Astyanax mexicanus: one gene and its partners. The protein of the gene in region 3 interacts with the protein of the main gene of each other region in a pairwise test. Links are inferred from orthologs where the notes say so. Each region holds a gene or a part of one and is shown on either strand. Other genes may lie near its edges.

Region 1 (6,932 bases), on a different chromosome or scaffold from region 3:
CTCCCACACGGGACGGGTCTTTAGTGGCTTTTTCATTTGTGAACGTCCTCCACTCGGAACCCACATCAATAACGCGATCACCTGGTACACACAGAACAGACAGAACACAGTGAAAACAGTGAAATGTTTGTAAGTTTCATTTTCTGACCGTTTGAATCTTTAATATAAAAATGTCTAGAGTCTAGAGTACATACCTACTACCAGGCCACATTCTGGACAGATCATATCCCCTGCTCTGTAGTCCTCCACCAGTATAGCCTCGGGGTGATTGGGGCATTGCACCCTGGGGAGAGCATCTGCACTACAATAAAAAAAAAAAAGATTGCAGAAGTTAGACCTAATATATTTTGATGCAACTAAATGGTTCTTCTAGGGTGTTTTTATACTTTTCCTTACTCAGAACTAATTTTGGGCTGGTTTGTTTTAACAGACCGTGGATTGAATATGCAACTTTATAAGCTAGTATAAGTACGCTCTGCATTTCACTTCATTTTATAAACTACTGACAAAAGTTCAAAATTTTTAATTATAAATATTGTTAATTTGAGCTTTTTTTTATCACAAGCCACCAAACAAAGCTATACTGCTTGAGTTTTTGCATCAGGAGCAGCATACGGTCATCCAAAAGCAGTGTGAAAGACTAGTGGAGGGCATGACAAGACACATGAGAGGCATGTGGGCAATATTTCACCAAATATTAATTTCTGAACCCACAAAACATTTTTAAATTTGTGGCATTATTTAGGGAGTCTGAAAGCACTGCATTTTTGCAGTAAAAACGTTTAATCACAATTTAAAAATTAATGAATGATACACATTAGGGCTGGCTGCATATGTCGTTTTAGCATTGCTATTGTGCAGCAATATATGGTGAAACTTAATGATTTTTTTATTAACACAATATATATTGCAAATACTGTTCAACCCTAACACACAGTATTAATCACAATATTTTGACCCTTGGATAAAATAAATCAGCAGTGGGAGATTCTTTAAAAAAAGTTATAAAAGTACATTACATCAATATATTGTCATGTTTGACATTATTATTATTATCATAATAATCATCATCATCAATACACTGTAAAACACATTTATGTCAGTGTCTAAAAAGAAAATAAGTGTAAACTTCACTAGTGTGAAAAAAACGTTAAATTGGATGATATTCAGCAAAAATTAAATAAAGATCATATTTATCCTATTAGGACCTAGCATTCACATGTGTGGACATGACATTTTGGGTTGTCTAGACAACTACAATAAATTTTGCTCTACAAGGGCCTTGTGTCCTCTTATGAGGCCATTATACTGTCACCTAGAGAAAACCTTCAAATAATCCAAATTGCTCAAAGGGGCACAATTGTTGTTTCTACTTTTGTTTTGCAATCAGGCAAAACATGCTGCTGTGTTCAGACACAAATATAGGTTTTGCACATCATTACTAATTGCGAGTTCATTGCGTTGTATCAAAATATAAAACTAAAGTCCTTATATGTGGGCATCTTTTTCTCAGAACCTACATCATGGGAAAAGATAATTCTTTGTTTTTACACTATTCAAGTGCCAATAAGCTTGAACAGGGAAAAAGAGAAATAAAAAAATGCATGCCATGCAAGAGTTTGGGTCTGAGGAGGTTAAAATAAATTAGTTTAAATTTCAATTCATACTAATTTAAATTAAATAGTTTATGATTTGTTGTTTTTTTCTCCATCAATAAATAGGCTGCTATTCTTTTTCAACAGAACCCATTTCTGCCCTTCCATCACCCGTGACAGTTACAATTTTGTGCTCATTTTCCTCTTGTGTCTGTTGCTTTCTATCTGTTTTCTTATCTTGCTTCCCAAAGTGACGTTTCTAAAAATGAAAACCATGACTAATTATTCCTGAATTATTAATTATTAGGATGATAAGTAATGATAATCAGAAACAGGAGCTTTAAAGCCCCTCTCTGTGACATGGCACTTTCCAGTCTATCTGAGCTAGGATCTCTCTTAGTGTTTAGCTAACTAAACTAGCTGTATTTATATCTGATCTTAACTATTGTCTATAAAATGTTAAATCAGCCGCAGTACACGAGGTCAGTAACGTTAAATAATAGCTGTTGATTATTTATCCTTAGTTTAACCTGAAGCTTAATAAAACCCTGAGTGTCGTTTCCTCTGTTGTTATCTATATAGATAGGTGTGCTAAGCTAAGCTAGCCATTTCAACACCAACACAAAGCTAGCTAATGTTATAATAATGGTCAAATTATCACTCAAAGGGTATCTGCTCCCTTATACATGGTGGTAACTTTTTTTACTAAATACTTTAGCTAGATACAACGTTAATTTAAAGAGTTAAAACATCGCCGGTTTAGTTAGCTAGCTAGCTTAGCTGGATACTACCATGCTAACAGGCTAGCTAGCCAACACTACAGAATACAATAGCTTCTGTTAGCCGCGTTAGCTAAGCTAGCTGCGTTCGCATTTTCATGCTAACTGGAGCTTTTAAGATGAAAAAAATGTTATATATGTGCCCTTAACCCCAATCTCCACTGTCATTTAGCTGTTATAAGGGTTCTCATCTTTTCGCAATCGTTAAAACAAATACTATAGAGTTAAATAGTTTGTTTTATGTAAAATTCAGAGTTAACGCAGGCTAACCCGAACAGCTAGTGTTAACGAACTGCATTCACAACGTGTCCGATTCACTCAGAACCCATTAATGAAACCCGTATTTTAGCCCGGATTCTGCATAAAACTCACTGACACGCACGCAGGGGTGTGGACAACGTGTTCATACATACCATATTAATGTTTAATCATCTATAAAAACAGCAAAAACGAGTTAAATAAGTGATAAATCGCTCCTGTGCTTTGTACTCACCGGCTAGTAGACGCCATTCTGTCCCTGTGTCTCTCAGTCAGGCTGGGCTGAACTGAGCTGAGCTGGCCTTAGCTGGGCTTTATTTATAACCTCCCTTATTTATCTCATCACAGCTTCACTGCTCACGGAAAGCCAGAATCGACCAAATATCTACATCCAGAACAAACCAAATAAGTTCGCGCAATATTACTGATAATAACAAAAAAATAAATATTTAAATAAATAAATTAAAAAATTAAACTGTTGCATGTCTACCACACAACCCCCACCCTCCAATATTAGTGCTCTTCTTGAACAAAACAGCGTATATCTGCTTACATTTAAAGTAAAGAAAAGAGAAAAAAAGAGAAAGCAAAGAAAACACCATGCGGGAGCCTTCTATGAACTATTCCTAGCAGATTGAGGAATGTTAAATACCCACACAACTTCACAAATGGAAGGACCCATCCATCTGCACCCACTATCAGACCTTACTCCACCTCCCATAATTAAACTGGTCTTGAGTACACTGTCCACTCTTTAGTCAACCTCACTTATTATCACAAGATAACTCCTGACAACTTATACAGGTGTGGGCATTCCCAAGCCATCCCCTGAAGAAACATGATCCTATGCTGCGTATATACTGCTGTCCCATGACTGGTTGCATGTCATTGTACTTCTAGAGCTCTTTTATACACATACTGTACATAATTTAAATTCTTTCAGTATCCCGGAGCTTCAAAACCCAAGCCATTTCTCTTTTCCTCCTTATAATGGTAAGCACAGATGTGTGTGGTTGTTTGGATGGATGCTTCAAATTAAGCTCTTTCAACCACAGACGCAACTCCTCTTCTCTGGATGGTGGTGGATATAAGTTAAGAGGAGATGCAATATTTTGTGTTGTGTTGGTCATTTTTTGTGTATGCTATTACTTATTCTATAAAATAATAAATAAATAATATTACACATATTATTACTGTGGCTGTAACCTATATCAGCGGTCCGTGGCTGCACAGGAAGTAAACAAACATGGCTCCTTGTCATCACACAGAGTAAGGGTGATAGAAGTGCAAAAGAAGTAATCATACAGGAGGTGCAGCAGTGAGGACTGGGTTAAGGGTTTATCAGAGTGTAATTTAATATATATTACAGAGACACCAGCTGATACACACGTCAGCAGACGTTACCGTAACTGCGTACTACTTATACACAGCTCGTTATCTGATCTGAACCAGATTATAAATCTTCAAGGCTGAACTCAGTGGTTAAATCAACTTCAGAGCAGATCTAAATATACTACAGCTCCTGTTCTCAGCCTCAGGCCCGGAGAGGAAGCATCTCACCGCGTCATGTGACTATATCTGTGGGTACTGACTGTGCTGTTATACGCACACTGACACCAGGAATACATCGTCTGCATATTTAAAGCCTTCGGAGCACACTAGTCTTCTTAATATGTTGACTTGAGACTGAGCTCTTGAAGGATGCTCTAATAATAATAACACAGACATGCCAAATATCATGGGACAGAAACTAATATCTTGTACCATGACTTTTGCTATGTCCCATCTAATGGGAGCTACGTGGGATATGTGGGCAGGGTCTTCTGCATTGGATGTAATGATTTCGGAGCCACTTACCTGTTCACATGGACAGTTCTATAAATATAGAGCATAAGTCCTTTAAATATCTCTCACCATGATAATACAAGAATAACCCTATGTGGCTAGTGTTTACCTTGTGTAATTACTCTGTAATAAGAATGCAGTAAGACTGCATATTGAAAATAAGTGGTCAAAGTTCATATCTCAGTAATATTTGCATTTGCATTTGACTTTTTAAAATTCTTGCATAATGAAATAGTTAATGTGTACACAACACCATTCAGAGTGGGTATGGTGTGAAACACTCCATCCAGAGGGGGTTGTGTTTATTCCACCACTGTTTTTATGTTTCTTTGGGTTTATTTTAATGATAGTGGTGCTTAAAAGTTTGTGAACCTCTTAGAATTGTTTATATTTCTGCATAAATATGATCTAAAACATAATCAGATTTTTTTATACAAGTCATAAAAGTGGATAAAGAGAACCCAGCTAAACAAATGAGAAAAAACATCTGGTAATGTTTTAAGTTGTATTTATGCAAAAAATTAGAAACTTCTAAAGTCTTTAAAACTTCGCAAATTTCAAACACAACTATACAGCTCTTAAAAAATTAAGAGACCACGTTAGTTTCTGAATCATTTTCTCTGATTTTGCTATTTATAGGTATATGTTTGCGTAAAACGAACATTGAACAACTGCAGACAATTTTTTTGCAGAAAAAACGGCTTAAATAACAAAAAAGATGCAGAGCTTTCAGACCTCAAACAATGCAAAGAAAACAAGTTAATATACACAAGTTTAGAAATTAATATTTGGTGGAATAACCCTGGTTTTTAATCACAGTGTTCATGCATTTTGGCATGTTCTCCTTCACCAGTCTTACACACTGCTTTTGGATAAATTTATGCCACTCCTGATGCAAAAATGCGATCCTGATGTGATCATCCATCTTTCTCTTGATTATATTCCAGACGTTTTCAGTTTGGTGAAATGAAAGAAACTCATAAATTTTAAGTGGTCTCATATTTTTTCCCAGAGCTGTATATTGAGTTAATTTCATGTAGACACTCTCACTGACCACTGAATTTATGTTTATTTGTGTTTATTCTAATGTTATATTGAGTTAATTACAGTTATACACTCTTACTCACTTCATGTTTATTTGAGCTTATTTATGCCTTGCATGTAGAGCTGGTTGGAGCAGCTGGGACTAAATGCTGATGCCACATAAATCCCTTATTCCCAGTAGACAATTCCCAGTCTCTGTAGCCATGGCACATGGTGGCAACTGGTATAAACAAGCACCATTAAATAATCATCCACTGAGCTACACAATATGATGTAAGAATTGGCACGCTGCACTAGTGCCCTTTATATCTGATGCAATTAGCCATAACAATACAACCACCTGCCTAATACTGTATAGGCCAACCTTGTGCTACCAGAACAGCACTGACCCATCGAGGCCTAGAGTTCATAAGACCCCTGAAGGTGTTCTGTTGTATCTGCACCAAGACTAACATCACCTTTAGTCCTGTAAGGTGTGAGGTGGGTCTCCATGAGCATGAGTAAGTTTTGTCGGTACCACTTTAAATAAAGATTACCTTTATAAAGCATTTATAAATGGTTTACAATTAGTTTATTAATGCTTATTAAATAGGTTGTAAATGCCTTAAAAATCATTAATAATCAGTTATAACACATACGTAGAAAGGGCATCAATATAGATGGCTGTGTTATATAGTCACTATTTGGGAAACAACAGGTCATTGGTGCCCTTTCTACCATACGTATGTGTTACAACTGATTATTAATGATTTTTAAGGCATTTACAACCTAATTAGTAACCATTTATAAACTAATTGTAAACCATTTATAAACCCTTTATAAAGGTAGTCTTATTTTAAAGTGGTACCGTTTTGTCCAGCCACAGTCCTGTTGTCGGAAGTTACTGACCACTTCATATTACTGCAGGGAAACACCCCACAAGACCTGCCTGATGTTCTGGAGATTCTGATCCAGTCATTGTCTAGAACATCAAAGTTTGTTTCTTGTTAAAGTGTCTCAGATGTTTAGGCTTATCCATATTTTTGCTTCAAAACATCAACTTCAAAAAATAACTGTTCACTCACGGCCTAATATATATATATATATATATATATATATATATATATATATATATATATATATATATATATATATTTAGTACCAGTAAAACCTTTGGACACACTTTCTCATTCAATGTTTTTCTTTTTTCTTTATTTATTGAATTTATTTTACACATTGTAAATTAATATTAAAGACATAAAAACGGTTAAGGGACACATATGGAATTACGTAGTAAACAGTAAAAAAGTGTTTCTCTGATGAACTGAGATGGTGATTTGAGGTGATTTAATTGGGATGAGCTGGAGCTTCACAGCGTGAAGGAAAAGAAGCAGCAACTATTGTTCAGCACCTCCAGGAACTCCTTCCTTCA
Region 2 (7,578 bases), on a different chromosome or scaffold from region 3:
ATGATTGTTAGGCAAGTTAGCAGAGCTTGGTCAATCTATACTCCCTAATTTTCTTTCCCCACTGCACATATTTGTGGCACTACAGTTAATATACACAGTGAATGTACTCTTGTTCAACTACAAGTAGAGCCAGTATCTCTGCAACACAGACTCTATTATTAGAACCAGTCAAAGAATGTAGGGAAGGGAATATAGCACAATACATCAGTGCCATGTTAGAATAGTGAACTCCTTTTGTTACCTTCAGATTTGTACAGATACACCTTTCTTTTTTAATTAGACCAAGCAAGTGCTGACAGCTGTTTCTTCTTCCTCTCCAATTTCATCTAGAACGTGGACATTACTATCAGGCTCCTTAGTCTGTTTAGGCTTGTTGCTAAATTGCTGTACCCCTTAATTTTCCACATCCTCCTCCTCGCCTTCGTTCTCTCCATCCTCCTCCTCCATGTGCTCTTCTTCCTCCTCCTCTTCCTCTCTGCTTTTGTCGTGCTCTTCTGTACCGTTTTTCTTCTCCTTGTCTTTCTTCTTCTGTTCTGATGCCTCTTTTTTGCCTTTCTGTCCTTTCTTGTAGGCTGATAAACAAAACAGGCAAAAATAAGCCTAGAACTAGTAATAGTACACCCTTAAAAATAAATGTGCTAAAAAAGTCAGAATTAGCAGTTTTAGTAAGATTAAACAACAACAAAAAATACATATAAATATAATTCACTTATCAGATGACTGGAGAAGACTGTCACTACAGACTGTTTGTTCATGACACACAATTTATCAATGGCTGCTTTTAAAATTCTAAGAGCAAATATTTAAATCCTGCAACTACATGTCAGGGTTCTTTTTCAACACCATATCTATACACTGTATACAACTATGTGAGACCCCAACTAAAAAAACATATGAAATGTCTCATCAGTTACAGGCCTTTTGTGAAAATTGTGTTATCAAGGTATCATTTAATATATGGAGGTCACTTTTGCTGACCTCAGTATTACCCACTGTGTTTACTTGCATCTTTTTTGCATAAGAACAAACAGCACTTTTTAAAGCTAGTTGTCTAATGGCCAACGGATCAATAAAAAAGGTAAAGATGAACTACTCAGGGTTAACTGCTGTTTATGTTTTTTTTTTTTTATATTGTTTAACAATATGCAGCACAACGTCTGACAGGCTTTACAAAGTGCCACAGCAAACAAAAATGTATTGTGAGAGTCCTAATCAGTTACCTTCAAGAGCGTCTCGCAGGGGTGGCAAGAAACGTTCAAATTCCATCTCCTCCATAGCCGACATCACATCTCCGGCATTGAGCGTCTTCCTTTTGGCTTTCATAGCGAAACTATTGGCACTGGAAATAAAATATATTTTTAAAAATTGATTAGTCACACACTTACTGTTGTATTTGGCGAGATAAAAGTTCTGTTCTGTGGTCTTCAGACATACCATGATGTTGCATAGAGAACAAACACACTGGCTGCTTGAGATATTGCCCTTCTTGCTTCTTTGGACACGTTTACACCATCTGGCAACTTACAAAAGCAACACAAAAGGAAAATTACATTTCACACAGTTGTTCTGGTCTACCGCAACTGAAGCTGATGAGACTCACAGCCAAAGTGTATATTTACAATACATACACTGCTGTGTTATTAAATAATGAGAATAAAATTCATGTAAATGTGAGGGAAATTTTTCATGTAAACGGTCATATTTTACATTAGTACAAAAACAGTTTGGTTTATTAAATAAAATGCTGGAAACCAAAATGGATATTATGGTATGCTCCTAGTGCTGTGCGATAAAACGATTGATAGAAATGTAAGCCACAGATGATAAAATTTTGATATAACTTGTTCTGTGAATATTTAACAGAGAATTGAAACACCCACTTTGTTATTCTGTAACATCTGATCTTTGAATTTACAGGATTTGAGTGTTTTATTTTTATTTATATAGTTGTATAACGTTCTAATGTTCATTTGTTAATTACTGACTAAATATTTTTTTAACTAAAATTACTTACGAGTAAAAGGAAACCTTTAAGTGTGACAGAAAGTGATTTGATTTATATCGTGATTTTGACTGATAAGGAAAACTATATCATGACGATGTTTTTTTCCCCCCATATCGCCCAGCCCTATATGCTCCTATGGCTACAGGCATATTTACATTTACATATACATAGAGGTAAATGTACAGTACCAGTCAAAAGGTTGGATACACCATCTCATTCAATTGTTTTTGTTTATCTAGTTTATTCATTTTTACATGGTATATTAATATTAAAGTTAAGGTTAAGAGTCTGTCAGTAAGCAAGTAACAGTGGGCAACCTAACAGGTGGCAGTAGCATCAGTTAAATTAGCATATATAGAGTTAAACTGCAAATAAACCCTTACTTATATCAGAAATTAGACTTAGAGGTTAACTAGATAAAAATGTTTAATCTAAGCACAGCAGTGTGTAGGAAGGTAGGTATGTAGTTTAGGTAAGTTTACTCACAGCCTCTTTGATAATGCGGGTGATCACAGCATTGGGAAGGTTTAGGTCCTCCGGTCTCTCAGCCATGCTCACTCACTCACACACAGCTAGTCCAGTGAGTAAGCTAGGCTAACGAGTGATTTAATAAATTAACTAAACTTAAACAGCTTTAATAGACCAAAACTCTGCCTGAGGAAGAGTGGAGACACTTCCAAACTCTGCTAAACATATACAATAATACAGTCCCGCTCAATAAAGAGCAGAACAGACTATCAGTCCGCCAAAACTACCGACTAACTGACGCTAGCTCAGCTAACCACCTGTGACTGCAGTGTGATAGAAAACAGCCCAGTTAGGCTAAGCTAACTCGATAAAACGCCCGCAAACTATCAGTTAACGGCCATACCCGCTCAGTACACTAATATATATATAATAATAACAGCAGCGGGTTATTTAAGTAAATAACCGGTAGCTCTTCTCGGACTGAGGTGAAAGAAACTCGCCGCTCTGAGCCGCTGAATCCCGCTTATCATCCAAAAACCCCCGCCTCACCGCAGGGTTGCCAGGTCCAACCAAACCATCCAGCCCAAAGTCAGTCTTAAAAGCTGCCCTTCAGAAGATTAAACTAATCCAAAATATAGGTTTGTCACACGTTTTAAGCATGTAGTAGGGGTTGGCAATATTATATCGTATACAATATATCGTGACACAGAAATATCGTGATATTAAAAATCCATATCGTGGTAATAGGGCTGTTCTGTTTTAAAAGTAGCCTATTATTTACTGTGAAGCTTTAAGTGTATTTATTGTGTAATTGTTTTAGTTTCTAGTTTATATGCATGCACTAAATATTCTGCAATATTATTTGCTGCATTATATTATTTTATGCTACATTATTTATTTTTGCCACATTATGATTATTCTGTTATACTGTTATACTATATTCCTGAAATTAATTAATTATTTTAGTTTTCCTCTATCGCCAGGTATATCGTTATCGCAAAAATACTCTGAAATATCGTGATATTATTTTAGAGCCATATCGCCCACCCCTAGCATGGAGTGGACGACTTAGTATTTTGTTTATAAGGAATTAGTGTTTTATTAGTTATTTTTTTTAACCGTTTTATATCCCAGTCAAGAACATTTAATTGTTACATAATTAGCAAAAAAAAAAAACTTTTACTTACTCATTTCTGTTCTTGTCCCTCCTGAGCTCTCTTTTCTCCTCTTTAACATTTTTTTCATCGCCTTGTGATTTCTGATTACATTGTATATTTAGTTACATTGATTTATTTGTCATTATGCATGGGAGGTAAATCCTGCCAAAAATAAAACTTAAATGAAAAGACTAAAATGAAAATGCAAATACAGTTTTGCACTTTCTTTTTCCAAACATGTGTGAAAATATTATAACAAAATTAAAAACAAAATTTAATCAATTCATTTGTAATTTAATTTTTTCTCTTGAGCATGGGTCATAAGTGACAAAAATAAAAAATTAAATTGAAAAGGCTTTTTGCCATTTATTTTATTAGCATACGAGTATTTCACAAAATAAAAAAATAAACCTAAAATAAAAAAGGTAATTGTGAAAAGAAAAAATTAAGCTTTATTTTGGCCTTGCCTTTTCGTGATGAACTGCATAATAAATGTCAAAAATAAAATCTAAATGCAATAGTAATGTTTTTAATTATAAGTCTTTGCAATGGGTTAGTTCCCATAGTTATATTCTCCTGGTTTTTATTGTTGTAATCCAAGGAAGATTTTTACTCGCGACTGGATTTTCAAAAAAGCCCAATTTGGCGGGAAACCTGCGAACCTGGCAACTCTGGCCTCACCCTTCACCCTTCACCCGCTCACACACAGCGCTGCTCCCGCAGCAGCCAATAGCAGAGCGGGCAGCCAGTCTATTATAATACACGGTTTTATTTTATACAGTTACTGTCGGAGCTGCTGATGTGTTTATTTTATTCACCCATTTATCTTTCTAGGCCCTCAATATTTATCCTTTTCTGTTTTCTAGCTCATTTTATTTATAAATAACATTTCTGCAGACAGCCTGTCCATACTGCGCATGCGCGTAACGCTTTAGTACGTTATACTAATTTTAATTCTGTAAAGTTATCAAGTAGCTACATTACACAAAAAGGTAAACCCTTTTAAATCTATTTCTTGTTGAATTTGATTTGTTTATTGATTCTCTTAACTGCCTAACTAAGAACATGAGGGAGTTAGATTTGCTGATGAATGACATATAAAGAATATAAATATAAATGTTTTGTTTAGCTCGTAAAACTTTTTGGTTGTATGATTAAATGATCTTGGATGTCCTTGTTTGTTTTTTAATGTTTTTGAAAAAAAAAAAAAATCTTAAAAAACGTTACTTTACTTTATCTTCTTAAAAGGGGTATAAGCTGTCAAAGTACTTTGATATTAAAAGTATTTTTGGATTAGAGATTTAGGCTGTCCATATTCACATTACGAAGCTGTTTATTGCATTTATTTATTTATTTATTTATTATTTTTAAGAGATATGCTGTGGCGATTGTGTCCCTTCAAATATTAAAACAACAATTTTGCAATATATTATCAGTGGGATATTATAAGACATCATAAAAATATCACTCCGTAATTGTGACACTATACATTTTATATTATTACAGTAAAACAACATTTTCAAATTTAGCCTGCCATAATTATATATAGCTATAAAAAAATATGATATGTTATAAGGAGATATTTATCCCATAATTGCAGATTGCTTATTTCTAAATTATGGCACATCATTTGTTGTTATCATTTCATATTATCTCATAATTGCAATATTTCCACATAATAAAAAAAAAATGCATAATTCTTCATAATAATTCTTATGATATAATACCCCATAATGGGATATGTCCTCAGAATTTCAAATATGTCCTTTTGTTTTCAAAGACGAAGCTCATAATGAGATACATTTTTGTAATTTTGAGATATTCTATGTCATGATTATGGCATGTCATTTTTTATTTTATAATAAGTTACTTTTTGGCATTTCAAAAATGTTCTTTGACATAAATAAAACATGTCATTTTATTTTAATATAAAAAAGTAGCTCATAAAGAGATACTTAATCTTAATTTCAGGATGTTCTGTCAGGATTGTGTAATGTCTTTTTTTATTTTATAATAAGGTAAGGTAATTTAAAAAATGTCCTTTGACATAATTATACAAAAATATCTCATAATATGATACATTCTTAGAATTAATTTATAATAATATTTCATGTCATAAACATGAAGTGTATATAGTAAGGATGTGAAGTTTGTATTGTTATTTTGATTGACAGTAATACATCTCTATAGAATCAGAATGCTTTATCCTATTTGAAAGTTATTATTCTGTACAATAGATGTTATCATTTGATAGTAACACAGATCAACATCGGCCTTTGAACTTGCTCCAAAACAAGCATTCCATTTCAGAGAATGTTCCATGATCATTATTGAGGCATCAGTGATGAAGTATGAAGCTATTATGAAATGTTTCTGCTGACCTCAGTAGTAATCTGCAGTGTTTCTTTTAGACTTCAGTTTCTCACACTTTGAGCTGCTTGCGTTTTAGAGCTGCCAAACGGTTTGTTTATCTCAAACTCAGATCGTGTGAAAAGTCCCTGAAAATGTGTTTTCTGTGATTTGTTCTTAAAGGAAAAGCTGTAGGGTGGTTGTTTTAGTATTGGCAAGGCGTGTTGGGTATATGCGATGGTCACGTAGCATTTTAATTCATGTATGCAAAGGTCAGTGAGGAATTCCAGCCATGGCTAATTTAACGTGAGGAATGATCCTTTAAGATTGAGCTGTGGGATAGATCTAGACTTTCTCCAGTGTATGTGTTTGTGTCATATGTATGTGTGGATGCTGTGAAAAAGATTGTATTACATTCCATCAAACAGAAAATGCTTTATCATGGTCTAATGTACTTCATTTTTAATAACATGCCAAAAGATGGTGTAGAAGAATGCAAATTAATCATAAAATCTTAGGAGGAGTGGGATAGCCCTTACTTGTGTAAGTTGTGAGGTGCTATCTTGAGGTAAGTGTGGTTGAACAGTGGTCAGCATGCTCATAGCAAGGCAATGTTTATGATCAGAGTTGGAGTGAGGTCTGATAGTGGGTGCCAGGTGGAAGACAGGACATTCCATTTCTTAGATTGTGCAGATATTGTGCAGTCATTTGTAAACTGGAAATACCTCATAGAAGGCATTACCACCCACAGTGTACAGGATTCTGAGTAAAATTGTCCATATGAACAGACAGTTAGGGCAGTGGTGGCTCAGTGGTTAGAGCACTGGGTTGTGGGTTCAATACACGCCTTTAACCCTCACTGCTCCCTGAGTGCCGAAAGCACCAGCTGCCCACTGTTCTGGGCACGTGTTCTCACAAAAATGTGTGTTTTCACTGAATGTATGGGTTAAAGGCGGAGGCTAAGTCACATAAACATTTAATGCAGAGAGTCAGTGCAGTATTTTTAGCTTCCAAAAGACATGCCAAAAGTCATGGGATACAAATTTCTGTAAATTACTTTTGGTATGTCAGTGTATTTTATTACAATTTCTATTTTAAACAGTTACAATTTTTGAGCCTGTAATGAATCTAAAAACTAAACTAATCATTTTAGATTAATTGCTTTTATTCATTCTAGTGAATGTCATACCATAAAGTATGTCCAAATGTTTGTGGACATCCCTTCTAATAAATGCTGCATTGATTGAAAGTTGCATTCACTGCTGAAACACACAGTAGGGCTGCACAATATTAGAAAAAAATTACATTGCAAATGTTATTTTTTTAACAGTATACTGTATATGGTGATATTAAACAATGCAGGGCCCATCACCCCCCCACCCGCGCCCTGTCTCAAAAGATGAGTCAGCGTCGAGCACTCAAACCCCGAGAAAAACAGCAAACCAACAGTAATTGGCCCTTTAATCAGGATTTAAATGGCTTTTTAAAAGGTTTTTCTGGGATTCTGGAAATATCTGCGCAAAACTGTGCTGGACTGAGGTGCACAGCTTTCGACACATGTGTTTACAAGCATGTGCCCAACCATGCAAAAAAGTGTAT
Region 3 (7,733 bases):
CTCACAAATGCGATGTTGTCATAGTTTTGGCGTTCCGTGACTGGGTAACATGACAGGCTTTCGTCAGAAGAGACTCCAGAAACAGCTCAAGTGCCCGCGCTCGAACAGGGGTTAAAGAACCAACCAAACCAAGAACATCAACTACAGAGTAGAGAGGGTTATTAATCAACGCCAAAATAACAAAATATCTTGAAAGTGATTATTCACTTAAAAAAACCCTATTAAATCAACTAATCTCAGGTTATGCGATGCAGTGGAATGCATGGATCATGTGATCCAAGTGTTACCTCAAGGGACAGCTTGGGAACACCCACATATTGTAAGGTGTTATCTAGTGAGTGAGTGTGTGGGCATTTAAAATTCCTTAATCCACAGAGTCAAGTATTAACCAGGAATACAACATAGAAGGCATTACCACCTACAGTGGATAGTTCAGTGTATGGTTATGATTATGGCTGACAGCATCTGATTAGAAATGTGCATGTCCATCTTTGCACTGGACATCTAACTCTACAGAAATATTTAGGGCAGTAAAAGAATTAGCAATATTTAAAGGGCAATTTGCATAAGAACCTCAAACACTCTCATACTGACACATTTCTAAAACACTGCTGTACAACAGAAGACAGAAATATGTGAACTTTCAAAGGATACAGATAATAACGGGAACGGCAGCAGCGACTTTTCCTATTTCTTCATCTGTCTGCATAATCTTCTTAATTCTTGCCTGAAAGTAATACAAACACACATAGTGAGCGTGAAAAAGCTAGACAGATATTTTGGGAACAAAAAATGTAATTTACATAACAGTAGTTACTGAATAGCCACATACAGTACAGCTGGGTTCAGTGTATACTGTACAGAATACACTACAGGACACAAAAACATACTTAACACTGAAAGCTAAAATGTAACAGTGAATATTAAATACTAGTTATGCATTTCTGTCATTTTTTTTAGTGTGGAAACATTTACAGTGTGGAAATACTTCAAATTGGTGCTTTACATTCTATCAGACTTAGATATTTTCCTGTGCTTGAAACACAAAACCTTTACCAGCCACATCTTGTTGTATTTTAAATAAAATAAAGAACACAAACGTGCTCCTTTATTATACTACTTTATTGTAGTACTTATACTTATACTACTAATCTACCACCTGAGTCTCTGAGAGACATGCAACTATTGTACTTAAATGCATACTGTCCAAAAAAGATTTTCTACTAGATTAAGAGCATTCATAAAAGAATGTGATTACATCAATAAATTAGAGATGTACAATCTTATCTACACAGGGCTGCTGTGGTTGCAGATTTCCTTTTTTATGGAAAAAAAACAGCAGCAGCACACTTGGTTCCTCTTGTTTAATCAGTTGGTCAGTCTTCAAACAACTAATCACATGTGCTTCTGCTTCACTGGAATAAAAAACTGAAGGTACACCACTCTTTGTGGAGAAGAATGAGGCCTCTGTAGTAAATGGAGCAGAAAAATGCCACAAATACAAATGGTATGTAAATATTGTTGATATCTAAAGTTGGTTAGCAGCATAAGAGCAGCTGAGTAGCCTGCTGATATGTACAGAGCCAGAGAGCTGTTAATATTATGTTAAATGTATTCATTTTAAAATCACTTTAAATTTTATACCAAAAATCTTTTCTGATTTTTTGTTAAATAATTTTTATTTTATGTAAAATATCTCTGTTGAATTTTCACTAAATATTTGTTCGCTTTATGCCAAATATCTTTATTAATTTTATGGTAAACATCTGATAATTTTATAACAAATATTTGTTATATCTTTATGTTATATATATTGGTGTCACTTATCTATATTTTACATCAAATATCTCTCACCTAAACATCAAATATCTGCTCATTTTATTTTAAATTTCTCTATTAATTTTTCATTAAACATTTTTGGTTGTGTCAAATATCTCTGTTCATTTTACCATAAACATCTGTTGAGTTTGTGGAATAACTCTGTTAATTTTACTATAAACATCTGTTGATGTTATGTCAAATATCATTTGTTACATAAAACGTTACCTTAAACGCCTGTTGGTTTTATGCGAAATATCTCTGTTAACTTTACCATAAACATCTGTTGATTTTATGTCAAAAAACAATTGCTGGTTTTAAGTCAAATGTCTGTCAATTTTATGCCAAATATCTGTTAGTGTCAGTTAAATGTATCTGTGTTTATAGGTAAGTAAAACATCTGTGTTCTGTCTGTACAGTAGCTGGTTAGCTGAGTTTTCACTTTCCAACACAAACTGAGGGAACTAAGTTATGTTAGCTAGCTTATGTTAGCTACTTAGCAAAAACCTTTACTAGCGTTAGCTAGCTGGCTGGCTACACACAAAGATTATCCAGGATCATGGCTACATTAGTATTGACCAATTTGAACCACAGATTTTAGAATACTGCATAAAATAAAGTGTAAATTGTTTAATTATAAAGCTACACGGCCTCTGAATAATGCTGAGGACTGCAGCTGTTAGCTAGGCTAAGCTAGGCTAAGCTAAGCTAAGCTAACCGAACTCTCAGTTCTCCAGCGAGCAGCTGTACAGTAGGATTAGCCGGACCCGCTGAACCGCTCTACATTGAGTCTATGGGCTTCTCCAGCTCTCGGTATTACACTGGGTATTGTTTTAAACTCAGAATTAAACTTAGACTCGAGTCTAGACCAGGTAACAGAGTTAAACCCAGCCACAGGTTTTACTCCTCTCATTCAGAGTGGGCGTTAAGATAACAGGAGCTCCGCTAAGTTAGGCTAGGCTAAACTGTGCTAAGCTAACGTTAGCATGTACATAGAGAATCATTGAGCTTAGCATTAGCATTATCAGGTGAATGGGAGTAATCTCACCGGGGGGAATCTGGCGTTATATTTCTTCTTTTTGCTCGGCATGCTGTGTTTTACAGGACTCCTCCCGCTTTAGCCCGTGTGCTCTGTGTCTGTACTCCTTTGTCCCGCTGCCGGATCGGCTCCAGGCCGGGTTTAGGCTCGGTTTTAATGATAAACTCAGTGTTTTTGGTTCAGCAGCAGCGGCGGCTCCGTCTCCACCTCCTCCTCCTTCAGTCCAGCCGGGTCTCGCAGGGTCGCAGCTTGATCTCCGGCTGCGCTCCAATTTACAAGTGTGTTCAAATCAAGCCCATAACAAACTCAGCATGCTATAAAACAAAATAAAATAAAAATAATAGTGAAATTTCGCCTTAACTTTAAACTTAAACCTGTTTTTATTCGGTGTTTAAATATGGAAATACATTCCTGTCAGGTAAATGCCCTTTCTGGCCTTCTCAGTTTCTGGCAGCAGGATGCAAATCTTGATTCAGTAGGCCCTATCTCAATCTTAATCTCTAAAAAAACAGTTTGTCTTTATATTTCCACATCATATATTTCAAATTTATCATTATTATTTAAGTTAAAGGACTGCCGTTATGCCAAATATTAGCAAGTATTTTTAAATAATGACCCGGGAACAGGTTATTATTGAACTACTGAAATAGAATTACAAATAGCAATAGCATAGCAAAAAAAAGAAAGAAAAAATGATTTTTTCAAAGGATTGTCATTTTTTTGTGAAATCTAATTTCCTCCACTTAAAAAAAAACTTATTATTAAGTAAATTGCAATCTTATGATTATGAGGTACTAAGTCGTTATTGTGAGATCCTAAATCAACAAAAGCATTCATATAAACGACTTAGTATCTCAAAATAATGATGTATCTCAAAATAACAACTTAATATATAATATAATAAAATAATGACATAATATCTTAAAACAACAAGATCGTACATGAACATGACTTAGTATTTCAATGGTTTCTGCACATGTAGGTAAAGTTAAAAGGTGAATTGGGTAGTTTCTGGACCCACCACAACCCTGACCATCAGGGAAAAGAAGACGAATGAGTAAATAGATTTTATACTAATACTATACTAATTATTATTATTATTATTATTATTATTATTATTATTATTATTATTATTATTATTATTATTATTATTATTATTACCTAATAGTATTATATCCAACCTCCTCTTCACATTTGAAATTTGAAACTCTTCTTAGTTTCAAATTACCTTCAGAACGCATGTGACTGTTTTAACTCTTTATAATTTCTATGTTTTTATTAATTCATTTGTTATTGGTCTTAATTTAATTTTATTATTTTCTATATCATTATTATTTACTTTTTATCTATTTGTTAATTTTTTTTAAATCTCTTACATTGAGAAGATTTCCTCTTGATTTACTGCGAACATTTGGATATTTTCTTTACAGCTTTAATCTTGTAATGTTAAGGCTTTAGCCTCGTAATATTGCGACTTTATTCTCGAACGAACTGTTTTTTTAAAGAGTGGCCCTAAAACGCCGTCGTTTAGATATTTTCCAGTTGTTAAGCGACCTGTGGGGGAAGTAGGGAAACGAGCACACTAGCTAGGTTAGCTAAAGAGTGTTCGAAGTAGACGTGGCCTTTCTAGTGTGCGAGGGGAGACAGCACGGGCGCACAAATTGGGACAGAGCCAGACAATTCAAAAACAACGCATTAGCTCGGCTAGCTGTGGGTTTAGCGGCTGTTTTAGTGGTTTTAAAGGCGTGTTTGATGCCGCAGGTGAGCGTGTGCGGGCTGTATTGCAGTGTGAGCGCTGTATAATGCGCAATAGTGAGGAATTCTGTGAGTTTTCTGCTTTATTTCTCCTCTCTGGTGGTCGGGGCTAGTTGCAGCTGCTGCTGTGCTGTGTTTGGGGTAAAGTTTGCTGATTAAAGTCAGTGAGGAGGCTAAAGAGTGAGCTGTGTGTGGGGAGAGTCTTCTGTAGAGCTGTGGGGTGAAGGAATGAGTTTGTAACCTGTCTGTGCAGTGTTCATTAAGCTGTGTGTGGGTCTGCAGATCTGCAAATATAACTGCTGGTGTTGGGTCCAATGTTGCTACCCTGTCAAAACGTGCTCCCAGTGTATAATGTGTATTCATAGGTAAATCTGATTGACTAGTAGTTTATTCAGATTGGTTGAAAACATGATTTAATGTAAGTGAAGTTTGGTAGGTTAGGTAGAAGATATGTGGATATAGGCTAACTAGCCTGTATAGTACACAGTATAGCAATTATAAGGGTATATACGGTGTATTTATGTATTTGAATAGCCATTAAAACTCGTGTGAGACTCAAACAACCAATAACAGTAAGTCTAGACTGTAAAACACACTGTATGAGCAGATTTATCTCGAAAAACACATGAAAACGTAAAAAAGGCACAAAAAATTTTCAGCGCATGCGCAGTAGTGATTGTCACATGTCACATGTGGCATTTTTCTGAGTCGGTTCTTTTGGCTCGGCTCACTAAAAAAGGGCCGGCTCTTTCAACTCCCAACTGGCTCCGCAGATTTATTATTTGCTTAAATTAATCTATTACCGATTTATGTGTAAAATAAATCACTTTGACAGTACCTATCAAAAGTTTGGACACACCGCTTCTCATTCTATGTGTTTTCTTTCTTTTTATAATTTATTTTTACGTAGTAAATTTAATATCAAATACATTAAAGCTATACAGGAACAAATGCAGGATTATTTGGTAAGCAAACCAAAATATGTTTTACACTTTAGATTATGAAGTGGAAGTGGCACATTTACCTTTGATTACATATTTGAACACTGGTATTTTCTCTGTGTTTTCATGAGAGAGTCACCTGGTTCACATAGAATATTTTCATTAAAAAGATACTTTATTTCAGCAATTCAGTTCAAAATGTGAAACTCATATTATATAGACTTATTACACACCGAGTGATCTATTTTAAGCGTTTTAAAATTTACTGATGGTCAGTGATGGGTTGGAGAGTCATGTCTGCTGGTGTTGGTCTACTCTGTTATATCAATTCCAAAGTCAGTGCAGCGTTTTTTTTTTTTCCGGAAAATTTTAAAGCACTTCATCCTTCCCTCTGCTGACAACTTTTATAGAGAAGCTAGAACTGTGAAACTGCCTTATAATCATACAGGTTAACTCATAACTTTTTTTTTTGGTCTCTCTAACAGAAAAAGAGTGCCTTACACTAGCATATAGGACGTACGCTACCCGTGTACCAACACTCAACCCCGAGGTCCAGAAGAAGGATGGAGGAAGAGGAGGAACATGCCGAGCCTCTTTCGGCAGAAGACTACGCTGCCGAGGCCTTGGCCGCAGACATGGACCCGTGGATCATATTTGATGCCCGCAAAACGCCTAGAGCCGAATTCTACAGCTGGCTGGAGTCTAACAGGCCCTCCCAGGTGAGCCGTTTTGGAGACGAAGAAGGTGGTTTGGGCCCTGTGGGCTGGATCTCAGTGTTGGGTCCAGATCATGGTCCGGAGTACCCGGACGTGACTGGTCTTCAAGAAAGCTGGGAAAAGCTCCTGGCCAGTGGGCGCCAAGTCACTTTCCAGACCATAAAGGAGCTGGCATTGAACCACAATGTGCTCACAGGCAAATGGCTCATACACATGGACACCGGCTTCAAGGTGGACCGTGCCTGGGAATGCATAGCCAAAGCCGTGCTAGATGGGAAAATCTCCTCAGCCAAAGTGAGCCCACGAGATGCGAACTCTGAAGCCAAGCATGTCATTTGCGCCTACAACAACAACTTTGCAGACGAGGAGCAGGTCATGCAGCTGGACGCGGCCATAAGGGCTGCTGGGGTCAAGTGCTCACTCTCTTACAAGCCAGACGTCTACACTTACCTGGGAATATACCGAAATAACAAGTGGAAGCTGTGCCCAACCATCTACGAGAGCAAGTTTGATTTAGAGTGCGTGCCCAGGCGCTCACACATCATCAATAAAGTCACCAACCTGGAGGTTACATAAGGTGCATTGAGTTAGTTTGCCTTACTCTTTAATGGAATAGTGCAGTGGCTTTTAACATGACCTCTGTTTACAATATTGTATGTAATGTATAGCCAGATGCCACAGGCAGCAGTTTAAAGACTTACCATAGCAGCCTGTTGGCACCTGCTGAAGCAAAGCTGTATTGAACAGATGTAATGCCAGAGGTTTGGTTAGAAAACACCAGACTGTTCCTTTAATGGGGAGATAAATGTCCACTTCGGTCTGGATGGGTGAAAACCAACCATGCTTGGACTGTGGTTACCTATCCATAGATTCAGTATTCATAGAGTGAATACAGAGGGGAGCAAGATGCATTTGCGTATGGAAATAAAAGACTGAAGATGCCTTTAAGTATAGTGAAAATCAACTGTATTCTGTTTTACTTTTAAATAGCTCCTCAGCTGTTTTTTGTTTTCTCGGGTTTGTACCCTGTGCTGCGTTTATAGCGCAATTTTGTTTTAAAAGGCTGTACTTAACTTACCAACTCTTCTCACTAATCTTTGATTGCTACTGTGCTAAAACAAACCTGTAATTTTGTTTATGCTGATATTGTAAGGAACAGCAGCGTGCATTTTGCTTTTTGTATCACTAACCTGCTGTTTACAGATGACGGAACTGATTTTGTTCTGTACAGTAAACTGTACTGTACACAGTTACTGTACACAAAAAAAAGTCACCGACGCTAGTTATGTTTACACTAAAGGGCTGCGAAAAATTTACTTTTGGAAAATTAACTGGTTTATTTTAACTATTTAGTTTGTTTTATACGTATTAGAGTAAGTGTGTAAACATGCCAGATAAAATAAAAATAAGTTGCATTCTGCTCTGTTTTCGTTTCTTTGTGCATGGCTGTGCTTTAGGGAACTT

The links. The genes of interacting proteins can lie anywhere in the genome.
Region 1: the proteins of drap1 (region 3) and gtf2b interact in binary tests that used the Homo sapiens proteins (3 or more experiments, as listed by UniProt). The two-hybrid records come from large-scale screens. The link is inferred for Astyanax mexicanus from reciprocal best matches to the Homo sapiens genes DRAP1 and GTF2B.
Region 2: the proteins of drap1 (region 3) and pole3 interact in binary tests that used the Homo sapiens proteins (3 or more experiments, as listed by UniProt). The two-hybrid records come from large-scale screens. The link is inferred for Astyanax mexicanus from reciprocal best matches to the Homo sapiens genes DRAP1 and POLE3.

The regions. Positions count from the first base shown.
Region 1 is NC_064425.1:40,920,885-40,927,816, reverse strand, and holds the start of gtf2b (transcription initiation factor IIB), read right to left. Parts: upstream 3,017-6,932; 5' UTR 2,885-3,016; coding exon 2,868-2,884; intron 302-2,867; coding exon 195-301; intron 82-194; coding exon 1-81. UniProt on the Homo sapiens protein: General transcription factor that plays a role in transcription initiation by RNA polymerase II (Pol II). Involved in the pre-initiation complex (PIC) formation and Pol II recruitment at promoter DNA.
Region 2 is NC_064408.1:17,396,719-17,404,296, reverse strand, and holds the start of pole3 (DNA polymerase epsilon subunit 3), read right to left. Parts: upstream 3,017-7,578; 5' UTR 2,558-3,016; coding exon 2,492-2,557; intron 1,521-2,491; coding exon 1,435-1,520; intron 1,340-1,434; coding exon 1,221-1,339; intron 573-1,220; coding exon 394-572; 3' UTR 1-393. UniProt on the Homo sapiens protein: Accessory component of the DNA polymerase epsilon complex. Participates in DNA repair and in chromosomal DNA replication.
Region 3 is NC_064432.1:18,622,984-18,630,716, forward strand, and holds the start of drap1 (dr1-associated corepressor), read right to left. Parts: upstream 3,005-7,733; 5' UTR 2,909-3,004; coding exon 2,867-2,908; intron 728-2,866; coding exon 655-727; intron 100-654; coding exon 6-99; intron 1-5. Other genes in the region: c25h11orf68 (UPF0696 protein C11orf68 homolog), read left to right, coding at 6,117-6,845. UniProt on the Homo sapiens protein: The association of the DR1/DRAP1 heterodimer with TBP results in a functional repression of both activated and basal transcription of class II genes.